2 linked regions of the Ovis aries genome follow. The protein of the gene in region 1 interacts with the protein of each later gene in a pairwise test. Links are inferred from orthologs where the notes say so. Each region holds a gene or a part of one and is shown in the gene's direction. Other genes may lie near its edges.

The links.
Region 2: the proteins of CRY1 (region 1) and PER1 interact in binary tests that used the Homo sapiens proteins (3 or more experiments, as listed by UniProt). The link is inferred for Ovis aries from reciprocal best matches to the Homo sapiens genes CRY1 and PER1.

Annotation. Positions count from the first base shown.
Region 1 is NC_056056.1:175,961,416-175,972,575, reverse strand, and holds the start of CRY1 (cryptochrome-1), read left to right. Parts: upstream 1-5,522; coding exon 5,523-5,680; intron 5,681-11,160.
Region 2 is NC_056064.1:27,595,088-27,605,084, reverse strand, and holds the end of PER1 (period circadian protein homolog 1), read left to right. Parts: 5' UTR 1-103; coding exon 104-384; intron 385-503; coding exon 504-602; intron 603-699; coding exon 700-854; intron 855-1,166; coding exon 1,167-1,288; intron 1,289-1,377; coding exon 1,378-1,579; intron 1,580-1,730; coding exon 1,731-1,782; intron 1,783-1,921; coding exon 1,922-2,064; intron 2,065-2,432; coding exon 2,433-2,511; intron 2,512-2,587; coding exon 2,588-2,694; intron 2,695-2,858; coding exon 2,859-3,012; intron 3,013-3,098; coding exon 3,099-3,207; intron 3,208-3,298; coding exon 3,299-3,430; intron 3,431-3,635; coding exon 3,636-3,741; intron 3,742-3,832; coding exon 3,833-3,998; intron 3,999-4,084; coding exon 4,085-4,215; intron 4,216-4,412; coding exon 4,413-4,592; intron 4,593-5,199; coding exon 5,200-5,442; intron 5,443-6,278; coding exon 6,279-6,889; intron 6,890-7,334; coding exon 7,335-7,515; intron 7,516-7,714; coding exon 7,715-7,904; and 6 more. UniProt on the Homo sapiens protein: Transcriptional repressor which forms a core component of the circadian clock.

The DNA of each region.
Region 1 (11,160 bases):
GTGATGGATGGAAACTAAACTTAGTGGTAAGCACGCTATAATGCAAAAAGAAGTCAAAATATAACGTTGTACACCTGACACTTATGTTATAAAATAATGATACTTCAGTTTTTAAGAAAAGATCCTTTAATACATTTAAATTCAAAGAGTCTAGTGCTGAGGTTCACTCAGCCTGGGGCCACCAGCCTAATATTCACAACACATCAAGACTGAATGATCTGATCACACTTTCCTCTACTTCATTATTTGTGTGTTGATAACACATGCCCAGAATCACATCTAGAAGATGGGGTCAAAGAAGAACACAAGCTTTCAGTTTAGAGGCTGATGCAGTTTTATCAAGAGTGCTCATGAAGTCAAAGAGATACTGATTTTTCTAACACTGTTGGCAGTTAAAAGAACATTTAATAGGACTCCTTATAGATATTTTTGAGCCCAAGGTAGGGTTGTGCTTATAGAATCTTAGAATTTTAAAACAGTATAGAAAATTTAGAAATCATCCAGTTAAAACCCCCCATTTTACATATGAATTAAGCTGGTCAGGAAAACCCTAATGACTTGCTCAAGAGCAACAACTAATTAACTGCAAGCTGAGATATAACCCAGCATTTTCCTTGTTAGTCCCATACTTGTTCAACCACCAGGAAGTTGGAACCAACCAGAACTTCACAAGAGATTCCTGAAAATGTTACCCATACCTTCTTTTCCTTACACATAAACACTCAATCTGAAAAAGAAAGGGAGAGGTGTTATCAGTGAGGGATAGTATGTGATAAGCAAAGAGCTTTGGGTTCAGAAATAGTCGTAGTTTTTCATCTGGTTTTACTACTTATTTGTATTTGAGCTTTAGCATCTTCATCTGCACAGTAAGCATAAACTATTATTAAATAATAATAAGTGGCCTTACTGGATTAATAATAACCTGCATAAAGTACCTGGAGTATAGTAGATGCTCAATAAGTCACAGCTTTATTTTATTGAAGTATAATTGCTTTACAATGTTGGGTTAGTTTCTGAAGTACAACAAAGTGAGTCAGCTGTATATATATATATAATCTCTCCCTCTTGAACCCCACTCCCACCCATAACTCTCCACCTCAAAATCACCGTTTATTAAATTGTTGCAAAACATATTAAAGTAATAATCTTGTTGTTCAGTTGCTAAGTTGTGTCCAATTCTTTGTAACCTCATAGACTGCAGCATGCCAGGCTTCCCTGTCCTTCACTATCTCCCAGAGTTTGCTCAAACTCATGTCAATTGAGTTGGTGATAATATTTAACCATCTCATCCTCTGCAGCCCCCTTCTATTGCCTTCAATCTTTCCCAGCATCAAGGTCTTTTCCAATGAGTCAGCTCTCCACATCAGGTGGCCAAATTACTGGAGTTTCAGCTTCAGCATCAGTCCTTCCAGTGAATATTCAGGGTTGATTTCTTTTAGGATTGACTGAGCTCCTTGTAGTCCAAGGGCATCTTGAGGGTCTTCTCCAGCACCACAATTCAAAAACATCAATTCTTTGGTGCTCAGCCTTCTTTATGGTCTAACTCTCACATTTGTACATGACTGCTGGAAAAACCATAGCTTTGACTATATGGCTTTTTGTCAGCAAACTGATGTCTCTGCTTTTTAATATATTGTCTACGTTTGTCATAGCTTTTCTTCCAAGGAGCAAGTGTCTTTTAATTTCATGGTTGCTGTCACCATCTGCAGTGATTTTGGAGCCCAAGAAAATAAAATGTCACTGCTTCCAGTTTTTCCTCTTCTATTTGCCATGACAATAGAAGGGACCAGATGCCATGCTATAAAAACCCCACACTCTTTGAGGAATGCATGGTTGACAGTACTGACATTTTCATAATTTACTACTTTCATGTGTAAATGAAAGTTACACACATACCCACATATAGCTGTCTGTTTAAAAGATCCATCTTTATTGAATGGACAGTTGGCAAACATAAACCAATTCCACACAAATCAATATTCTATCTTCCACTGTTTCATTTGGCTGCTTGAAAATACTTATATCTTTAGACATACTCTGCTTATTTTCAAACTGCCTAAAATGAAACATGAAACATTGTATTTTTAAAAGTATGTTAGGCCCTGGAGTATGAGACAATCCAAGTGAAGGCACAGCTCTGTCTGCCACATCCTCTACAAAAGCGATCGGCCCCTTGGAGTGGTAATTAATCAAGGCTCACCCTCATAAAAATAACTGTTTAATGCTTCATAGTGAACAACAGGCTTTCACATACTATATAATTTTCAATGTTCTTAGCAAATTGAAGAGAGGATGCTATGTCCTTCCTATGGCAACGAAAGCAGGGTTAGGAAAGACATCCAGACATACTGGCTCACTAAACGATGAAACTTATTTTGCTGCTGTATTAGTTTGCTAGAGCTGCAGTGGCAATGTACCCCAAAATGAGTGGCTTAAAACAGCAGGAATTTATTGTCTCACAGTTCTGGAGGCTGGAAGTCTGAAATCAAAACGTTGGCAGGGCCATTCTCCCTCTGAAGACACTAGGGAAGGATCTGTTCCAGGCTACTCTCCTAGTTTCGAGTAGGTCCTTAGTTTATGGCAGCCAAACTAAGATCACGGCATCTGGTCCCATTACTTCATGGGAAATAGATGGGAAAACAGTGGAATCAGTGTCAGACTTTATTTTGGGGGGCTCCAAAATCACTGCAGATGGTGATTGCAGCCATGGAATTAAAAGACGCTTACTCCTTGGAAGGAAAGTTATGACCAACCTAGATAGCATATTCAAAAGCAGAGACATTACTTTGCCGACTAAGGTCCGTCTAGTCAAGGCTATGGTTTTTCCAGTGGTCATGTATGGATGTGAGAGTTGGACTGTGAAGAAAGCTGAGCGTCGAAGAATTGATGCTTTTGAACTGTGGTGTTGGAGCAGACTCTTAAGAGTTCCTTGGACTGCAAGGAGATCCAACCAGTCCATCCTAAACGAGATCAGTCCTGGGTGTTCTTTGGAAGGACTGATGCTAAAGCTGAAACTCCAGTCCTTTGGCCACCTCATGTGAAGAGTTGACTCATTGGAAAAGACTCTGATGCTGGGAGGGACTGGGGGCAGGAGGAGAAGGGGACGACCGAGGATGAGATGGCTGGATGGCATCACTGACTTGATGGACATGAGTTTGAGTAAGCTCTGGGAGTTGGTGATGGACAGGGAGGCCTGGTGTGCTGCGATTCATGGGGTCGCAAAGAGTCGGACACGATTGAGCGACTGAACTGACTGAACTGAAGTCCAATTTCCATAAGGCCTTCTCTCCTGAGTATGAGACTGCTGTCTGCACCCAAATTTCCCCTTTTATAAGGACACTAGTCATTGGATTTGGTCCCCGAATGACCTCATCTTAATTTCATCATCTGCAACGATCTTATTTCCAAGTCAGGTCAAATTCACAGGTACTAGGGGTTACATGACTTTTAGAGGTACACAACTTGGTTTGTAATAATTGCCATATCTTTCCTCCTTCTAGCCTTGTGAAACACACTGGTGACAAACAATTAATTCATTCACTCTTTCATTCAATAAACATTTGACTGTGTCGAAATATATTCCCTAGCTCAAAGGTGTTGTAGTGAGCGGCAGATTCTAAACAGCATTTACAGAGCGAAAAACAGCACATATAAAGGTTAGGAGACACATCGTGAACTTCAAGAGGGCTTTTCTCTTCCTCTCTCTGTGTACCTCCAGTACTTTAAATAGTGCCAGTTTCATTCAATAAGTGATTGTTGAATGAACTTAAAGTTATTGCATGCCTAAGGAACAGCGATTCCCTTGTAGTTCAGTCCCTAAATAACCTGCCTGCAATGCAAAAGACCCAGGTTCGATTCCTGCGTGGGAAAGATCCCCTGGAGAAGGAAACGGCAACCCACTCCTTGTCTGGAGAATCCCATGTACAGAGGAGCCTGGCAGGCTACAGTCCATGGGGTCGCAAAAGTTGGACACGACTTAGTGACTAAATCAAGGAACAGCAAGGCCTGAAGTTCATTGTCCTTAGAGGGGTAGGCAAAGTCCCATCGCAAAGAGCCCTGTAAACCGCACTAGGTGTAAGAAAGGAAGGCTGACATGTTGACAACACAGAGATACTATTAAGGAGTTCCAGGGATGCCTGGCACCACCCTCCGAATTAATCCTCTTCCCCAGAGCTCATACAAGGATCCAGTAACGCTAGGGGCACAAGAATGAGAAGGGAGCCAGCTCTATACACTCCAAAGTAGGGTTGGGTTCTCCAGCTAAAGCTGGATGGAAACACATGTTTTGGGCTCTAAGTCGATGTGGAGCCTCCTACTCTGCTCTTTCCACTCCATCCTGCCCTCACTCATTCCCCGCCGGATCCTCGTTCCGACTCCTGGAAGACACCGCGATGTCTCCACGCCTTCCGCGAACTCCGCGGGAGGAATCCCCTAGCGGGCTCCGGATCGCCGGCCCCGCCCTCCTTGACTCCGAAACGCAGCGAGAGCGCACGCGCGCCCTCACGGGCAGAGCGCGAGCTCTCTAGCTCCCCGCAGCCCCGTGCTCATCCGGGTCTCAGCGAGTCTCAGCCAATGGTGGACGTTCACAGCCCCCGAGGGCGGGGCTAAATTTTCCCTCACATGGGGCCTCGGCTCACTCTGGGCGCTTTCAGGCAACCGCGATTTGTTGGCCGAGAAAAGGGACAGAGGCAAAGTGTCTAGCGTCTGGGAGAGGACCGATGGATTTGACATGGAGCAGCTGCCGCCTCCTAGAAGCGACTGAAGTGCAAGCTGATACCCCAGTCGGAGCCGCTGTAGTAAACACACTTCAGAAACGTGAGGTGCCGGTGGTCACGTGAGGAGTGCGCCCTCCAATGAGGAGCCGAAGGCGGGGCTGAAGCCGCTGACGCGGCGGTGGCGGCGGAGTCACCCGGGCAGCCTCGGGACGGGTCACCGGCCGGCAGCGGTCCAGCGGCCTCGACCACCGCCTTGCGTGCTCTGTCCTCACTTCTCTTACCCGGGCCGAGAGGCAGCGTGGCCGACAGTGACTGAATTCTCTCTCATCCTTGTCGGTGGCTCGCCTCAGGCGGGGCCGTCTGCTCCTCGGGGGCCGCCTCGGTGGGCGAGGTTTCCGTGCAGAGAACCTCTTGGGGCTGCCCGCGCCCGCGCGGGCCGTGGTGGAGTCTCGGGCTTGTGGAACTTGGTCAGCCTCCAGAGGTCCGGGGACCTCGAAGTTATGCGTCTTTTCCAGTCTGTGGCGGCGGGTGCCGGCCCCTAAAGGGCGTCACACCGGGACTCCGCTGACTGGGCAACCTCCATTCATCTTCCAGCTGCGCCGCCAGCGCCCTCTCCCTCTTCAGTCCCTTCCTCGGACTCATCTTTTCCTTCCCCTCCTCTGCTTTCCTCACTCCTTGGGTGCGGCGATTCTCCTGCGTTCGGAGTTGTCGGTTATGAGCCGGACCCTCCCACCCTGAATTTCTCGGCGGAGGAGCTCGGCGGCGCCGCACCGCGGCACGCCCCCCCCCCCGCCCCCAGCCCCCGGGATGGGGGTGAACGCCGTGCACTGGTTCCGAAAGGGGCTCCGGCTTCACGACAACCCCGCCCTGAAGGAGTGCATCCAGGGCGCCGACACCATCCGCTGCGTCTACATCCTCGACCCCTGGTTCGCCGGCTCCTCCAACGTGGGGATCAACAGGTGGCGGTGAGTCAAAATCCTGTGGGAAATTGATTTCGCTGTTTAATGAATCAAGACTTTACATGCCATCAGCCAGACCTGAGAATTGAAATCTTGCACCGCCTTGCCCGTACTGTTTGAATTATTGCAGGTGCTTTAAGTATTAAATAGAACGGACTTAATAGCCTTGAGGCGAGAGAGTTCCGGCAGCCTGAAACACCTTGGCCTTCAGGTGTGAGTTACGTGTCTCTGCGCTCGTAGGAATTCTTCCCCTGGATTTATGGAGAATTCTTAGTGGTGGAGTTAAAGAAACACCCTTCCAGTTCTCAATGGCCCGTGTGTTGATTTCCTTGGCCTCTGTGGCATTTGGGGTTGCGGTCTTTAGTGTTTACGTTTGTGTGTTAACTCATAGTATGGAGAAAATCATTCATTCAGTAGAGTCCCCTCCAAATCTAGTTTTCTTCCACCTTGAGGTTGCCAGAGGAAAAGCAAGGGACATTTCTTTGCTCAGTTCTTCCTCTCAACTCCTCCTTGTGGTTGAATAGACAAAGCACAGTTTTTCTTTCTAGGCAAAGTATAATCCTTCCAGGATTTAGAGCACTGGAAGAAATCTTAGAGAAGCTTTATGATCTTTTCCTGACATGCCAGGCCAGATGATTATTAGGCCCCGTGGTGGAAATGAAAGCATTCTTTCAGCAGAGTATTGATCACCTGCTGTATACCAGGGCTTCCCTTGTGGCTCAGCTGGTAAAAAAAAAATCCCCCTGCAAAGCGGGAGACCTGGGTTCTATCCCTGGATTGGGAAGATCCCCTGGCAAGGGGAAAGGCTACGCACTCCAGTATAATGGCCCGGAGAAATCCATGGACTGTATAGTCTTTGGGGTCTCAAAGAGTCTGACACGACTGAGCGATTTCACTCACAATCACTTACAGCCACAGCTTTAAACACCAGGGATACAGTAGTGAATGAAACAAATAGAAATTCTTGTCCTTTTCTAGCACATGTCCCAGAAAGTATGTAGTAATGTAGTAGATGATAAATGATGTGCGGAAATACAGCTTTTATGTGTACAAGGGAGTGGGATTGGAATTGGGAGTTTAAAATATGGTGATAGGGAAAAACTCAGAGAAAGGGACAGTTGAGCAAGATGATGAAACAAGTAGATTACAGATATCTAGGGAAAAGCATTCCAGGGAGAAAGAACTAAGAAAAAGGGCCTGAGGTGGAATATGCTTAACCTTTGGAAGGAACAGCAGAAGAAGCCAATGTGACTGGAACAGAGTGAGAGGAATAGTAGTGTATGAGGTCAGAGATGTAATAGGGCCAGACTGAGTAGAGCTTTATAGGCAGTTGTCAAGATTTGGGCCTTTACTTAGATGAAAATAGGAATAATTCTAAGATTATGAGCAGAAAAGTGATGTGATTTGACTGAAGGTGTGTTTTTTTTTTTTTTAAACTTCTCTGGCCGTGGTTCTGAGAACAGACCCAAATTGTGGGGTGGAGGTGGACAAGAAGCAATAAGACAGGTTAGGAGTCAATTGCATTAATCCAGGTGAGATATGATAATAACTTGGACCATAGTGATTGTGGTGGACATAGGGAGAAGAAGTCAAGTGCTGAGTGTATTTTGAAGGCAGAATTCACAGTATTTATTGACAGATGTGGTGTGAGAGAAAAGGAATTAGGAATAATTTCAAAATTTGATTTGAGAATCTAGAAGGGTGGAACTGATCTTTACTAAGTGGTCAGTTGAAGAAGCCATTGAGAGGGTGCTTTGAGTTTTCTTTTGAACTTGGTTAGTATGAGATGTTTATTATGCATCCAAGTGGAGATAGCAGATAGATATGTCTAGAGTTAAGGTTAGAGATCCTGGCAGGAGGTATAAATTAGAGATTCATCACTTTATAGATAACATTTAAAACTATTAATCCATTCATATATTGACCAAATATATTGTATGGATCTACTATGTGCTAGACACTTTTAGGTGCAGGACATTAAACAGAATAGCTAAAATATCTCTGCAGTGTTGAAGATACATTCTAGTAGAGCTGTGAGACTATATGAAAACATTATGTGAATTTATACAGATAGAAAAGAACTGAGCCTGGGTACTTGAATGTATTTAAATTGTGGACGTGTGGAAGAAGTAGCATAGGAGTTTGAGAAAGAACATCTGGTAAGCTAAGAAAACCTGAAGATAATGGTGTCATAGAAGCCAAGGAAAAAAGGACAGTGGCTCAAAGAAAATGTTTGACCTTTGTCAGGTTGCTCGTCGTGTGAGATGAGGACTGAAAATTAAGAATCATATTTAGCATTTTGAGATCATAATCTTGATTAAAGTGGTTTCAGTAGTGTCAGGGGCAAAAGCCTTTTTGGACTGGCTTGAGAGAGGCTGAGAGGAGAGAAGGTGGGGATAACTCACATAGATAGCTCTTTTAAGTTTTCCATTGGGGGGGAATCAGAGAAATGGTGTAGAAGAAGGTGAACTCAAGAGAAGATTTTTTTTTTTTTAAAGATGAGAGAAATTACAGGATATTTGTGTGCTCATGAGAATAATACAGCAACTGTATATAAAACATTTTCATTAGCAGAATTGGTGTCATTGATTCTGGAAAAAGATAATGCATGTTATATATTCTAATCTATTCATATCTTAACAATAATATAGTAATAAGTCTCTCTTCATAATATTGTTAGGAGAATTAAATTAGTTAAAAGATGTGAAATGCTTAAAATGTGAGTGGTGCTACTACTGCTACTACTAAGTCATACTAGGAAGTGCTTATTTGCTGTTTGCTCTTAAATTGAAAGTCCTAGGTAAATAGTATCTACTTAAATGCCTACAGTTTTAGCATTTTAAGACTAAAACTGATAAGTATAGGAATCCCTTGAATAACAAGGAGATCCAGCCAGTCCATCCTAAAGGAAATCAGTCCTGAATATTCATTGGAAGGACTGATGCTGAAGTTGAAACTCCAATACTTTGGCCATCTGATGTGAAGAACTGACTCATTGGAAAAGACCCTGATGCTGGGAAAGATTGAAGGCGGGAGGAGAAGGGGATGACAGAGGATGAGACAGTTGAATGGCATCACCGACTCAATGGACACGAGTTTGGGTAAACTCTGGGAGTTGGTGATGGACAGGGAGGCCTGGCATGCTGCAGTCGATGGGGCTGCAAAGAGTCGGACACAACTGAGCGACTGGACTGAACTGATAGGAATCTCATATTTTCCTTTTAAAAAGGATTTTTTTTTTTACTACTAAATATTGCCCTTGATGAATAATAGATAGGTAAAGATGTAAATAATGAGTAGAGACAGACTTTCTTCCACTGATGACTATATAAAAAGGAGGGACAGAGTTTTAGACTTTTCTCTCAGCATCAGATTCAGTGCTTTCATATAGTGGTAACTCAGTTACTGTTTGTTAATGAAATGACATCCTGGAGTCAATAGTTTTATGTTTAAACAACTTTGCTACCTTACTTATTGACCATAGAATAAGGTGCAAACTCCTTAACTTGGCATTCAGGCTGTCTTGTGGGTTTTGGTCTTCTTTCCTTTGTACTATTTCCTTAATTAACAAAATTTCCTAGATTTTTGGATTTAACAGAAAAACAAATCTCAAAAATCTATTTTGCATAAGAAAATTAACAAAATTACCTTTTGATGTTGCTGTAATTTTCATTTAAAATGGGTTCTTTCTAAGGCAACTGAAAGAAGAACAAGCAAAACCCAAAGTTCGCAGAAGTAATAAAATCGTAAAGACCAGAAATAAATGAAATAGAGACCAAGAAAACAATAAAAAGATCAATGAAGCTAAAAGGTAGTTCTTTGAAAAGATAAACAAAATTAATGAACATTTAGCCAGATTCACAGTATATTAAAAAGCAGAGACATCACTTTGCTGACAGAGGTCCATATAGTCAAAACTATGGGTCTTTCAGTAGTCATGTACAGGTGTGAGATTTGGACCATAAAGAAGGCTGAGTGCTGAAGAATTGATGCTTTTGAACTGTGGTGCAGGAGAAGACTCTTCAGAATCCCTTGGACTGCAAGGAGATCAAGCAGTCAATCCTAAAGGAAATCAACCCTGACTGTTAATTAGAAGGACTGATGCTGAAGCCGAAGCTTCAGTACTTTAGCTATATGATGTGAAGAGCTGACCCTGATGCTGGGAAAGATTGGGGGCTAGAGGAGAAGGGAGTGACAGAGGATGAGATGGTTGGGTGGTATCACCAACTCAATGGACATGAGTTTGAGCAAGCCTGGTGTGGTGCAATCCATGGGTTGCAAAGAGTCGGACATGACTGAGCGACAAAACAGTAACAAACCAGACTCATCAAGAAAAAAAGGGAGAGGGCTCAAATCAGTAAAGTTAGAAATGAAAAAGGATATATTACCCCACAAAAGTACAAAAGACTGTAAGAGATTACTACAAGCAACTATATGCCAATAAAATGAACAGCCTAGAAGAAATTAGCAAATTCTTAGTAAGGTGCGAATCTCCCAAGGCTGAACCAGGAAGAAATAGAAAGTACAAGCAGACAAGTTATAAGTACTGAAATTCAGTCGTTGATTAAATAACTCCCAATAAACAAAAGTCCAGGACCAGATGGCTTCACAGGCAAATTCTGTCCAACATTCAGAGAAGAGTTAACACTTATCTTTCTGAAACAAATCCAAAAATCTGGAAGAAACACTTCTTCACTCATTGTGTGAATGGCTTCACTCATTCTGTGAAGTCACCATCACCCTAATACCAATCAGAAAAAGGCACCACAAAAGAAAAAAAAAAAAGAAAAAAAAGACAATTACAGGCCAATATCACTGATGAACATAGATGGAAAAATCAACAACAAAAGATTATTAAACTGAATCCAACAAAACATTAAAAGGGTCATACGCCATGATCAAGCGGAATTTATTCAGTGATGCATGGATTTTTCAATATCCACAAATCAATCAGTATGATACACCCCATCAACAAATTGAAGAATAAAAACCATATCAGAAGACGCAGAAGAAGGCTTTTGATAAAATTCAACATCCATTTATAATAAAATCCCCCAGAAAGTGGGCATAGAAGGAACATACCTCAGCATACTAAAGGCCGTATATAACAAACTCACAGCTAGCATGTTGCTGCTGTTGTTCAGTTGCCCAGTCTTGTCTGATTCTTTGCGACCCCATGGACTGCAGCACGTCAGGCCTCCCTGTCCCTCTAGCATACTCAGTGGTAAAAAGCTGCTTTTCCTCTAAGATTAGGAACAAAACAAGTATGTTCACTCTCACCACCTTTATTCAACATAGTTTTGATGACACAAACAGATGGAAAGATGTACTTCATGGTCTTTTTGTTTCCATACAAATGTAAAAATTTTTATTCTAGTTCTGTGATAAATGCTATTAGTAATTTGATAGGGATTGCACTGAATCTGTAGAGAGCCTTGGGTAATATAGTTGTTTTGACAGTGTTGATTCTTTCAACCCAAGAATAC
Region 2 (9,997 bases), on another chromosome or scaffold:
GGGTCTCCCACCTCCCTCCTCTAGCCAGGCCTTCTGGCCCCCTTGAGCATCTGTGGTGGCCTCTCTACCTACCCCGTTCTCCTGCCCTTCCCATGGCCCAGACATGAGCAGGAGCGGCCCCCTAGAAGGGGCTGATGGGGGAGGGGACCCCAGGCCAGGGGAACCCTTTTGTCCTGGAGGGGGTCCATCCCCTGGGCCTCCAGAGCACCGACCTTGTCCTGGCCCCAGCTTGGCTGATGACACGGATGCCAACAGCAATGGCTCTAGCGGCAATGAGTCAAATGGACCCGAGTCCAGGGGTGCATCTCAGCGGAGTTCGCACAGCTCCTCCTCCGGCAATGGCAAGGACTCAGCCCTGCTGGAGACCACTGAGAGCAGCAAGAGGTGTGTCTGGATGGGTGTGGCAGGTTCTTCGAGTGGTCTCTGGAGCCATCTGAGCTGGGAGACAGGCCCCAGTTGCTGGCCACTTTCTCCTCATCGTGCGCCTGTTGCTTCTCCTTTAGCACGAACTCTCAGAGCCCATCCCCACCCAGCAGTTCCATTGCCTACAGCCTCCTGAGTGCCAGCTCTGAGCCAGACAACCCTTCTACCAGTGGCTGCAGGTTTGTGGGGGGAGGGGGGGAGGACGGGGGCAAAGGGACTGAAGGCCAGGCTCTGGGGCTAATGCCTGTACCCCCTCCCTCCTTGTGGGCCCTGCAGCAGTGAACAGTCAGCTCGGGCAAGGACTCAGAAAGAACTCATGACGGCACTGCGAGAGCTCAAGCTTCGGCTGCCCCCGGAGCGCAGGGGCAAGGGCCGCTCCGGGACTCTGGCCACACTGCAGTATGCGCTGGCCTGTGTCAAGCAGGTGCAAGGTGAGTGGTGCTCCTGGGAGGGTAATGGTCAGGTTCTGGGTGACCGTGGGGAGCTGTCTCCTTGCTAAATGCGCTGCTGCCCACACCCCATAGGGATTCCCTTCTACCTTAATCGCTAAAGTATCTGCTTGCAATGCAGGAGACCTGGGTTCCATCCCTGGGTTGGGAAGATCCCCTGGATCAGGGAATGGCAACCCACTCCAGTATTCTTGCCTGGAAAGTCCCACGGACAGAGGACTGGTGGGCTGCAGTCCATGGGGTTGCAAAGAGTCAGACATGACTGAGGGACTAAACCACCACCCACCCCTGCAGCCAACCAGGAGTTCTACCAGCAATGGAGCCTGGAGGAGGGCGAACCGTGTGCCATGGACATGTCCACCTATACTCTGGAGGAGCTGGAGCACGTCACGTCTGAGTACACACTCCGCAACCAGGTCAGTGCGGCCCGCCCCTGCACCCGACGTGCCCCCAGCCCCACTCCCACAGCTCCTAAACCTGTGCTGATCCTTACTCTCTCGCCTAGGACACCTTCTCCGTGGCTGTCTCCTTCCTGACAGGCCGCATCGTCTACATTTCTGAGCAGGCGGGTGTCCTGCTGCGCTGCAAGCGGGACGTGTTCCGGGGCGTCCGCTTCTCCGAGCTCTTGGCTCCCCAGGATGTGGGCGTCTTCTACGGTTCCACCACCCCATCCCGCCTGCCCACCTGGGGCCCGGGGGCCTCCGCAGGTGAGGTCCCCAAGTGCTCGGGGGAAGATGAGCAGTCCCCGGAAGCAACTGCTGTGAGGGCCCAGGGGACCCAGGCTTTTCCTTGCTGGGTTTTTCTCAGCCCAGGGAGGAGGTGGGGAGCCATACTCACTGCCCTCCTGGTCTGTCTCAGGTTCAGACCTCAAGGACTTCACCCAGGAGAAGTCTGTCTTCTGTCGTATCAGGTCAGTGGGGAACGTGGGAGCAGACCCCTTCCACCTCCCATCCCCCCACTCCTCTTTGCTGGGTCAGCCATGACCTTGAGCTGGAGGGTGGGTGGCTCTTCAATGATCATCTCTAATGCCCCTTTCTCTTCCTTGCTAGAGGGGGTCCTGACCGGGATCCGGGGCCTCGGTACCAGCCATTCCGCCTAACCCCATATGTGACCAAGATCCGGGTCTCCGATGGGGCCCCTGCCCAGCCATGCTGCCTGCTCATTGCAGAGCGCATTCACTCTGGTTATGAAGGTGGGCAGCCCCAGGCCTGACCTGGTTGGGGTAGGAGGAAGGGTGTCTCCTCTAGGCTGGGGGTGAGGCAGAACAGGAGTCTGGGAGACAACTTTGAAACAGGATGAGGGTTTGAACACCCCTTTAGAGGTCGAGTTGGGTAAGAACTCCAAGCTAGGAGAAGGCAAAAAAAAGTGCCTTGGTTTTCAGTTTCATTATTGGCGTGGGGCACAGAAATAGTCCAGACCGTCTCTGGAGGCCAGGGGGCTCAGGGGAGAGCTGTGGAGGGAATCATCTGCCAGCCAGCCTAGGCCTGAGGCAGCACATGGAGGGCCCGGGAACTGGAGCATTCTGCCTGAGATCCAATGGCCACGCCTCCTGTGCCTCAGCTCCCCGGATCCCCCCTGACAAGAGGATCTTCACCACACGGCACACGCCCAGCTGCCTCTTCCAGGATGTGGATGAGAGGTGAGGTCAGGATCTGGAGGAAAAGGAGGTGCCAGGGCCGAGGCTCTGGCCCCTCTGACGCCCCCTCTCCTCTCAGGGCCGCCCCGCTGCTGGGCTACCTCCCCCAGGACCTCCTGGGGGCCCCAGTGCTCCTCTTCCTGCATCCGGAGGACCGACCCCTCATGCTGGCCATCCACAAGAAGAGTGAGTTTCTCTCTTCCTGATTGCACTTCTAGTTGTCTACAGGGCTTCCTTAGGGCTGCCCCTGTGATTGTGTCTCTCAGTGCCTTGATTTTGGGGTTGGGGGGATTCCACCTCACTTAGCTCTCCCTCCCACTGACTTGCACCTTGTTTCCCATGGCCTTCAGTCCTGCAGCTGGCTGGCCAGCCCTTTGACCACTCCCCTATTCGCTTCTGTGCCCGTAATGGGGAGTATGTCACTATGGACACCAGCTGGGCTGGCTTCGTGCACCCCTGGAGCCGCAAGGTGGCCTTTGTGTTGGGCCGCCACAAAGTACGCACGTAAGTGGGCACATAAGTGGATCATGCCCTGGAGGGCCGGCCAGCGTGGAGGGGCCAGGGCTCAACTCCCCTCCCGCACCCCACAGGGCGCCCCTGAATGAAGATGTATTCACTCCCCCGGCCCCCAGCCCCACTCTGTCCCTGGACTCTGACATCCAAGAGCTCTCGGAGCAGATCCACCGGTTGCTGTTACAGGTGAGGGTTGATGGGAGGGGGCTTGGGAGACAAGAAAGGGGGCAGAGCAGGCCTCAGGCCATCTAAGCCATAGTCACTCTCCCTGCCTCAGCCTGTGCACAGCCCCAGCCCCACGGGCCTCTGTGGAGTCGGCCCCGTGCCTTCCTCTGGCCCTCTCCTCAGCCCTGGCTCCTCCAGTGACAGCAACGGGGGTGATGCCGAGGGACCTGGGCCTCCTGCCCCGGTGAGTGGCCCTTGAGTCCCCTGTCCTGTCCCCTTGTCCTCAAGAGTCAGCACTGCCAAGCCCAGGGGAGCGTCGTCCACCTCCTTTCCTTTCTTGTTCTGCTTGCATCGTGACCTCCCCACTGGGGCCTCTCTTGTACTACGCTCTGGGCTCCCGAGGCTGGCCAGGCCCCCCAGTGCTGCCCACTCCCTGCCCTGTCCCACAGGTGACCTTCCAGCAGATCTGTAAGGATGTGCACCTGGTAAAGCATCAGGGGCAGCAGCTTTTTATTGAGTCCCGGGCCCGGCCTCTGACCCGGCCCCGTGTCCCTGGTGAGTCGGCGAGGGTGTGGGTGGGGAGCGAGGCCTGGGGGTCCCCAGACCTTCAGCCTAACCCAGAGGAGTTTCTCTCTCCTTGGTCCAGCTACTGGCACATTCAAGGTCAAGACCCTTCCCTGCCAGTCCCCAGAGCTGGAGGCAGCCCTGGCTCCAATCCAGGCCCCAGTGGCCTTGGCCGCCGAGGAGGCTGAGCGGAAAGAAGCCTCCAGTTGCTCCTACCAGCAGATCAACTGCCTGGACAGCATCCTCAGGTCAGGCCATCCTGGCACCTTCTCTGCCTGGGGCCACGGCCCCGCTCCACCTAGACCTGCCCTCATGTCCTCTGGTGCCTCCTCAGGTACCTGGAGAGCTGCAACCTCCCCGGCACCGCAAAGCGCAAATGTGCGTCCTCCTCTTCCTGCACTGCCTCTTCGGCCTCCGACGACGACAAGCAGCGGGCAGGCCCAGTCTCTGTGGGTGCCAAGAAAGGTGAAGACTCGGGCCTGCTCTGCTCCCGCCGCCCTGTCCTCTGGCCCTGTGCCTCTACATGTCTTTGGGGCCCCCACCTCACTCTGTCCTGTCCCCCTGCCAGCCTCCCCTGTGCCATCCATCTCCTCCGCACCAGGCTTTCCTTTCCCAGCCACCCAGGGGGGCGGGGTGGTAACTGGCACCATCTCTCTGCACAGATCCATCAGCAGTGCTGCCTGGGGAGGGGGCCACCCCTCTGAAGGAGCCGGTGGTGGGAGGAGGAGCCTTGAGCCCGCTCGCCCTGGCCAATAAGGCGGAGAGCGTGGTGTCCGTCACCAGTCAGTGTAGCTTCAGCTCCACCATCGTCCATGTGGGAGACAAGAAGCCCCCGGAGTCGGGTACGGGTGTGGCTGAGGGGCGCAGAAACAGGGCTCCATCTGGTCCCTCAGCCAGAGCTACCTCCTTCCTTGCCTTCTCCTGCCCTCTGGCCCCAAATGGAGAGAAGGAGCCTCCATCTTAGCGTTTCTCACTCTCTGCTCGCCCGCCAGCCTTCGCCGCCTCGTCTGTCCCCCACCTTGCTTCCTGTGTTCTTACTGTCACACACAAAGTCTGGGGTGCAGGGTTCAACCTAAGGTGCTCCCCACAGAGGGGCTGAAGGCAACACTGTTGTAAAACCCTTGAAGGGTCTTTGGGTATTGACCTGGAAAATGCGTGAGGAAAGAGTCGGGATGGGCTTCCCTTCCGAGGAGGGTCATGGGGGTGTCATCCTTGGGTAAGGCCCCTGGAGGGGACCGAATGTCCTTTCTTATTACCCTGAGACACCTTTGCGTGGAGCTCCCCAGAGCCGGTCCTTGGGGGGACGTGGCCAGGATTTGCAGGGGAGGCCTAGGCTTGGCTGCAGGGTGGAGGCCGGGGGTTTGGCTAAGCTGTTGGACGTGGAGGGGTTGGTGCAGGTGTGCTAATTGTGAGGTGCTTCTGACCTTTGCCTCATCTCATCCTCCTCAGACATCATCATGATGGAGGACCTGCCCTCCTTGCCTCCCGGTCCAGCTCCCAGCCCTGCCCCTAGCCCCACAGTAGCCCCTGATCCGGCCCCAGACGCCTACCGCCCAGTGGGCCTGACCAAGGCCGTGCTGTCCCTGCACACACAGAAGGAGGAGCAGGCCTTCCTCAGCCGCTTCCGAGACTTCAGTAGGCTGCGTGGATTGGACAGCTCCTCCACAGCCCCCTCGGCCCCTGGGGAGCGAGGTAACCACCTGGGATACCCCTGAGCCTGCCCAGTCGAGGACCAGAATGTCGGGGGAGGGAGTTCTTGAGGGAGAGGCTTCTGCTCCAGGGACCCAGGCTGTTGCTCCCTCTACCACCAGGGCCCTGCCCAGGGACAGGCCCCTCGCCAGCCTCTCCCCACTAGGGTGGGGGTCTGGGCTGCCGCCCGAGAAGGGCAGCCTGAGGAGCTGCACTCAGAGGCAGGCCAAGGCGCTCAGCTTCCGGTAAGCCGCTCCAGGCCTGGTGTAGGGGCAGGAAGTGTGCCGACTCAGGACTCTGTTGTTGCTGATTGGGAGGTCTATGTAGACTGGCAGGGAGGACCGGGGCAACTTCAGGGGGCAGAGGATCAGCACTTCAGGGCAGCTGGCTGCCCTCCAGGTGCGTGTGGGAGGCTCCCTGAAGGCAGACGTAGGACTCAGGACTGGGCTTTCCTGCCCGCCTCTTCGCTCCGTCATGCGCTAGGCAGAGCATGGCGCGGCTGGCAGTGCCTGCTGGAGTTTGGCCGAGGGGTCGGAGCCACCTGCCCACCCGTCCGTGGGCCTACCCTGCCTCCTCCTGTCTGCCAGCATGCCTCTGTCTCCTGCCCTCCCCCAGCATGACCCCTTATGTGACCTTTCCTTTCTCTGGCTCCTCTGTCCATAAATCCTCCCCTGTCGCTGTAATTCTTCCCTGAGGAATTCTTCCCTCTGTTATGTGTGGGCCGGGGAGCCAGAGGTCCTTCACCTACCCTCTCCCTGGTCAGAGTGGCAGGGCGGTGGGGGCTGCAGGGGCCTAACCACCAGGCTGAGGGCCTTGCTAACCCTCGTTTCTCCCTTCAGGCTGCCACCACAGCCCTGCCACCCCTGGCCGCCGCCACCACTGCCGATCCAAAGCCAAGCGCTCACGTCACCACCAGACAGCTCGGGCCGAAGCCCCTAGCTACATCTCCCAGCCCTCGCCTGTGCCACCCTCTGCCCCCTGGCCCCCACCACCAGCCACTCCTCCCTTCCCAGCTGTGGTCCAGCCATACCCTCTCCCTGTCTTCCCCCCGAGAGGCAGCCCTCAGCCTCTCCCTCCTGCTCCCACGTCTGTGCCTCCTGCAGCTTTCTCTGCCCCCCTGGTGACCCCCATGGTGGCCTTGGTGCTCCCTAACTATCTGTTCCCTACCCCATCTACCTACCCCTACGGGGCACCCCAGACGCCTGCCGAGGGGTCTCCTACCCCTGCCTCCCGCTCCCCATCTCCGTCCCTGCCCCCGCTGCCCCCCAGCCCTCCCCACCGCCCCAACTCTCCGCTCTTCAACTCAAGATGCAGCTCCCCACTCCAGCTAAACCTGCTGCAGCTTGAGGAGCCCCCTCGTGGTGAGGGGGGTGCAGCGGCAGGGGGCTCTGGGAGCAGTGCTGGGCCCCCCCCTCCCAGCGAGGAGACGGTGGAACCAGAGGCCAGACTGGTGAGCTCTGACCCGGTTCCCCCCGCCCCCGTCCTCTTAGGGCCCCCACACAGCTCTCACCACCTGGTCCTCCCCTCTCACGCTTCCTCCTGCCCTCCTGGTTGTCCCCAGAGGATGGGGTCATGGGGTGGGAGACCCCAGCTGAGTTTCTCAACAAGGCAGAAATCAGCTGCCTCATCTGTGAAGTGGGGACAGTCCTGTCTGTCTGACAGGTGGTGAGGACATCCCCATAAACTTCTGAGAGTACGTCTGCCACTTGGAAGGGGTCCAGCGTCACATCCCTCCTCTTCGCCAGTTCTCCTCTCACTCAGCCTGAGCCCATTGTCGTGGAGTGGGAAGAGACCACTTGGGCTGGGTGTGCCCCCAACCAGTGGCAGCAGTAGAAGGGAAGCCTAGGTGTTGATTCCTTAATCCCTCCCTGTCCCCCTTGCCTCCCCTCCTTCAGGCGGAGGTAACTGAGTCCTCCAACCAGGACGCTCTCTCGGGCTCCAGTGACCTGCTGGAGTTGCTGCTACAAGAGGACTCTCGATCTGGCACGGGCTCTGCTGCCTCAGGCTCCTTGGCCTCCGGCTTGGGCTCTGGTTCAGGCTCCCATGAGGGGGGCAGCACTTCCGCCAGCATCACGCGTGAGTGCCGCCCCCCCCCCCAATACTTTCCAGGGTAGGACAGTGTCTAGGGAGTTGGAAAGCCAGGCCGCACCTTGGCTGAGTAGCCTGGGTCCACGCCCTGCTTTCTAAGGCCAGTGGGCTGGACCTACAACCTTGAGTGAGGCCTGGTGGAGCACCTGCTGGCCTGACTGTTGGCTGCCTGCTTCTCACTCTACAGGCAGCAGTCAGAGCAGCCACACGAGCAAGTACTTTGGCAGCATCGATTCTTCAGAGGCTGAGGCTGGGGCTGCCCAGGCCAGGGCTGAGCCTGGGGACCAGGTCATTAAGTACGTGCTCCAGGATCCCATCTGGCTGCTCATGGCCAATGCTGACCAGCGTGTCATGATGACTTATCAGGTGCCCTCCAGGTGAGGACTTTGGGAGCACTCCTTGCCTCCCCTTCAGAGGAATGGGGAGGCTGCCCCCCCTCACTCCCTAGCTAACTTGGGTTTTTCTTTCTTGGCCTGGCTCTGCCCTGGGGCATTCCTGTTCTGTCTCCTGCCCCTTGGAGCCCCAGCAATAGTCAGGCTGAGAGCAGCTTTCCTGGTTTTGGGAAGGCCTGAACTCTCAGAACACGTTTCTGGGGAGAAGCATGAGGCACAGAGTGGGACGCTGCGATAGAAGAAAAGTGCCAGTCCTCCTTGTGGGCCCTGGCCCCAGCTCCCATTCTCTGCCTCCTGAACTTCTTCCCGGAGCAGGGACATGGCCTCTGTGCTGAAGCAGGACCGGGAGCGGCTCCGGGCCATGCAGAAGCAGCAGCCTCGGTTCTCGGAGGACCAGCGGAGGGAACTGGGTGCTGTGCACTCCTGGGTCCGGAAAGGTCAACTCCCTCGGGCCCTTGATGTGATGGTGAGAGAAGTCCACGCTAGGAGGGTGAAGAAGGAATTGAGCTCAAGTTGAAAGGACAGAGGGCTGATCCCTTCACTGTTCTTGGATCATTAATTCTGAAGGATGTTAATTCCACTGAGCTTGCTGTTGGGTTATTTAGTGTTAAACCATGTGAATTTTGTGGACCTTTTCTGGGCCAGTACTGTACTAATGTACATTGTGGCTGTCCTGCTGTGGGGTCTGGAGACAGGATGCGATGCATTTTCCAATATTGTTGACCCCACGTGCATCCGCCTGAATCAGTATTTCCTAGGCATACAGTTTGGAAAGTACTCTGGGGCTTGGGGACAAGGGGAGCTGGGTTGGCAGGTCAGCACTGAGAATCTGCCTGACTCACGCATACCCTTTCTTCCTCCAAGGCCTGTGTGGACTGCGGTAGCAGCACCCAAGAGCCTGGCCATCCTGATGACCCTCTCTTCTCGGAAGTGGATGGACTGGGGCTGGAGCCCATGGAGGAGGGCGGAGGCGAGGGTGGTGGCGGTGGTGGTGAGGGTGAGGGCAGCAGTGGGGCCCAGGCCCAAGCTGGGGCCAGGGTCTCGAGCTCTCAGGACCTGGCCATGGAAGAGGAGGAGCAAGGTGGGAGCTCACCCAGTCCAGCCTTACCTGCCACAGAAAATGGCACCAGCTAGACTCCGTCTTGGGCCACCTCCAGATGTGCACGAGAAGCTTCCTTCTCTCATGCCCCAACTCTCAGAACTCAGATGTGGCTGGACCAACCAATAAGAGAACTGCCCCAGCTTCTCCTGCTGTGGGGGGGTGGGGCCCCGTCACCAGCCCAGGACCAGGGGCTGCCTCTGGCCTCTTTGGGAATAGGGTGGCATTCTTCAGCCCAGCCCAGCCCAGAGAAGCCTCCCATCACATCCCCGGTGAGGAGTCATTCCTCTTCCTGGACAAGATTGCTGACAAGCTGCTGAAGTGGTCTCTCCAAGTCCCAGCTGAGCTGGAGTTCCTGTCCCTGGGGATTGGGGCTGCATTTATTTATTGGGGGAGTCAGTCCTCTCCCCCACCTCCTCCCCGGATGAGGGCAGGAGGAGGGTGTGAGGCCCAAGCAGGACCCTGCGGTCCAAACCCCTAGCTGCTCCAGGGTGGGGGAGGTTGGTGGACCATGGAGTCCCTGGTGCTGCCCCTCAAGTGGGACCCAGGTGTTCTCAGCTGTACCCTCTACCAATGGCATTTGTGTTTTTGATATCGTGTCTGTTATTTTTAATACAAAAAGGAAAAAAATACCAGGTCTTTGTGAAATGAAGTTTGAGGGCTGGGTTGCCCCCGGCCCCGGGGGGTAGAGGAGGGAGGCTCTTTCCCTCCCCTTCCCGGAAAGTAGTAGTGAGAATGAGTTATTGCCTCCCCTGATGACCTATATAATCTCCCCACACCCTTTCCCAATGAGAAGGCAGGTCTAGGTGGCTAAGACACGGAGTCCCACAGTCATTCATAGTCTAGTTGGGAAGCGGTGTGGGAGAGGGGAAGCTGGTGCAGAGTGTTAATGCTCTGGCTCAGAAGTTGGAAAGGGGGAAAACTTGGAAAGGATAAGTGATTGGAGATTGATAGCAACCTTTGTTCCATATATTTCTCG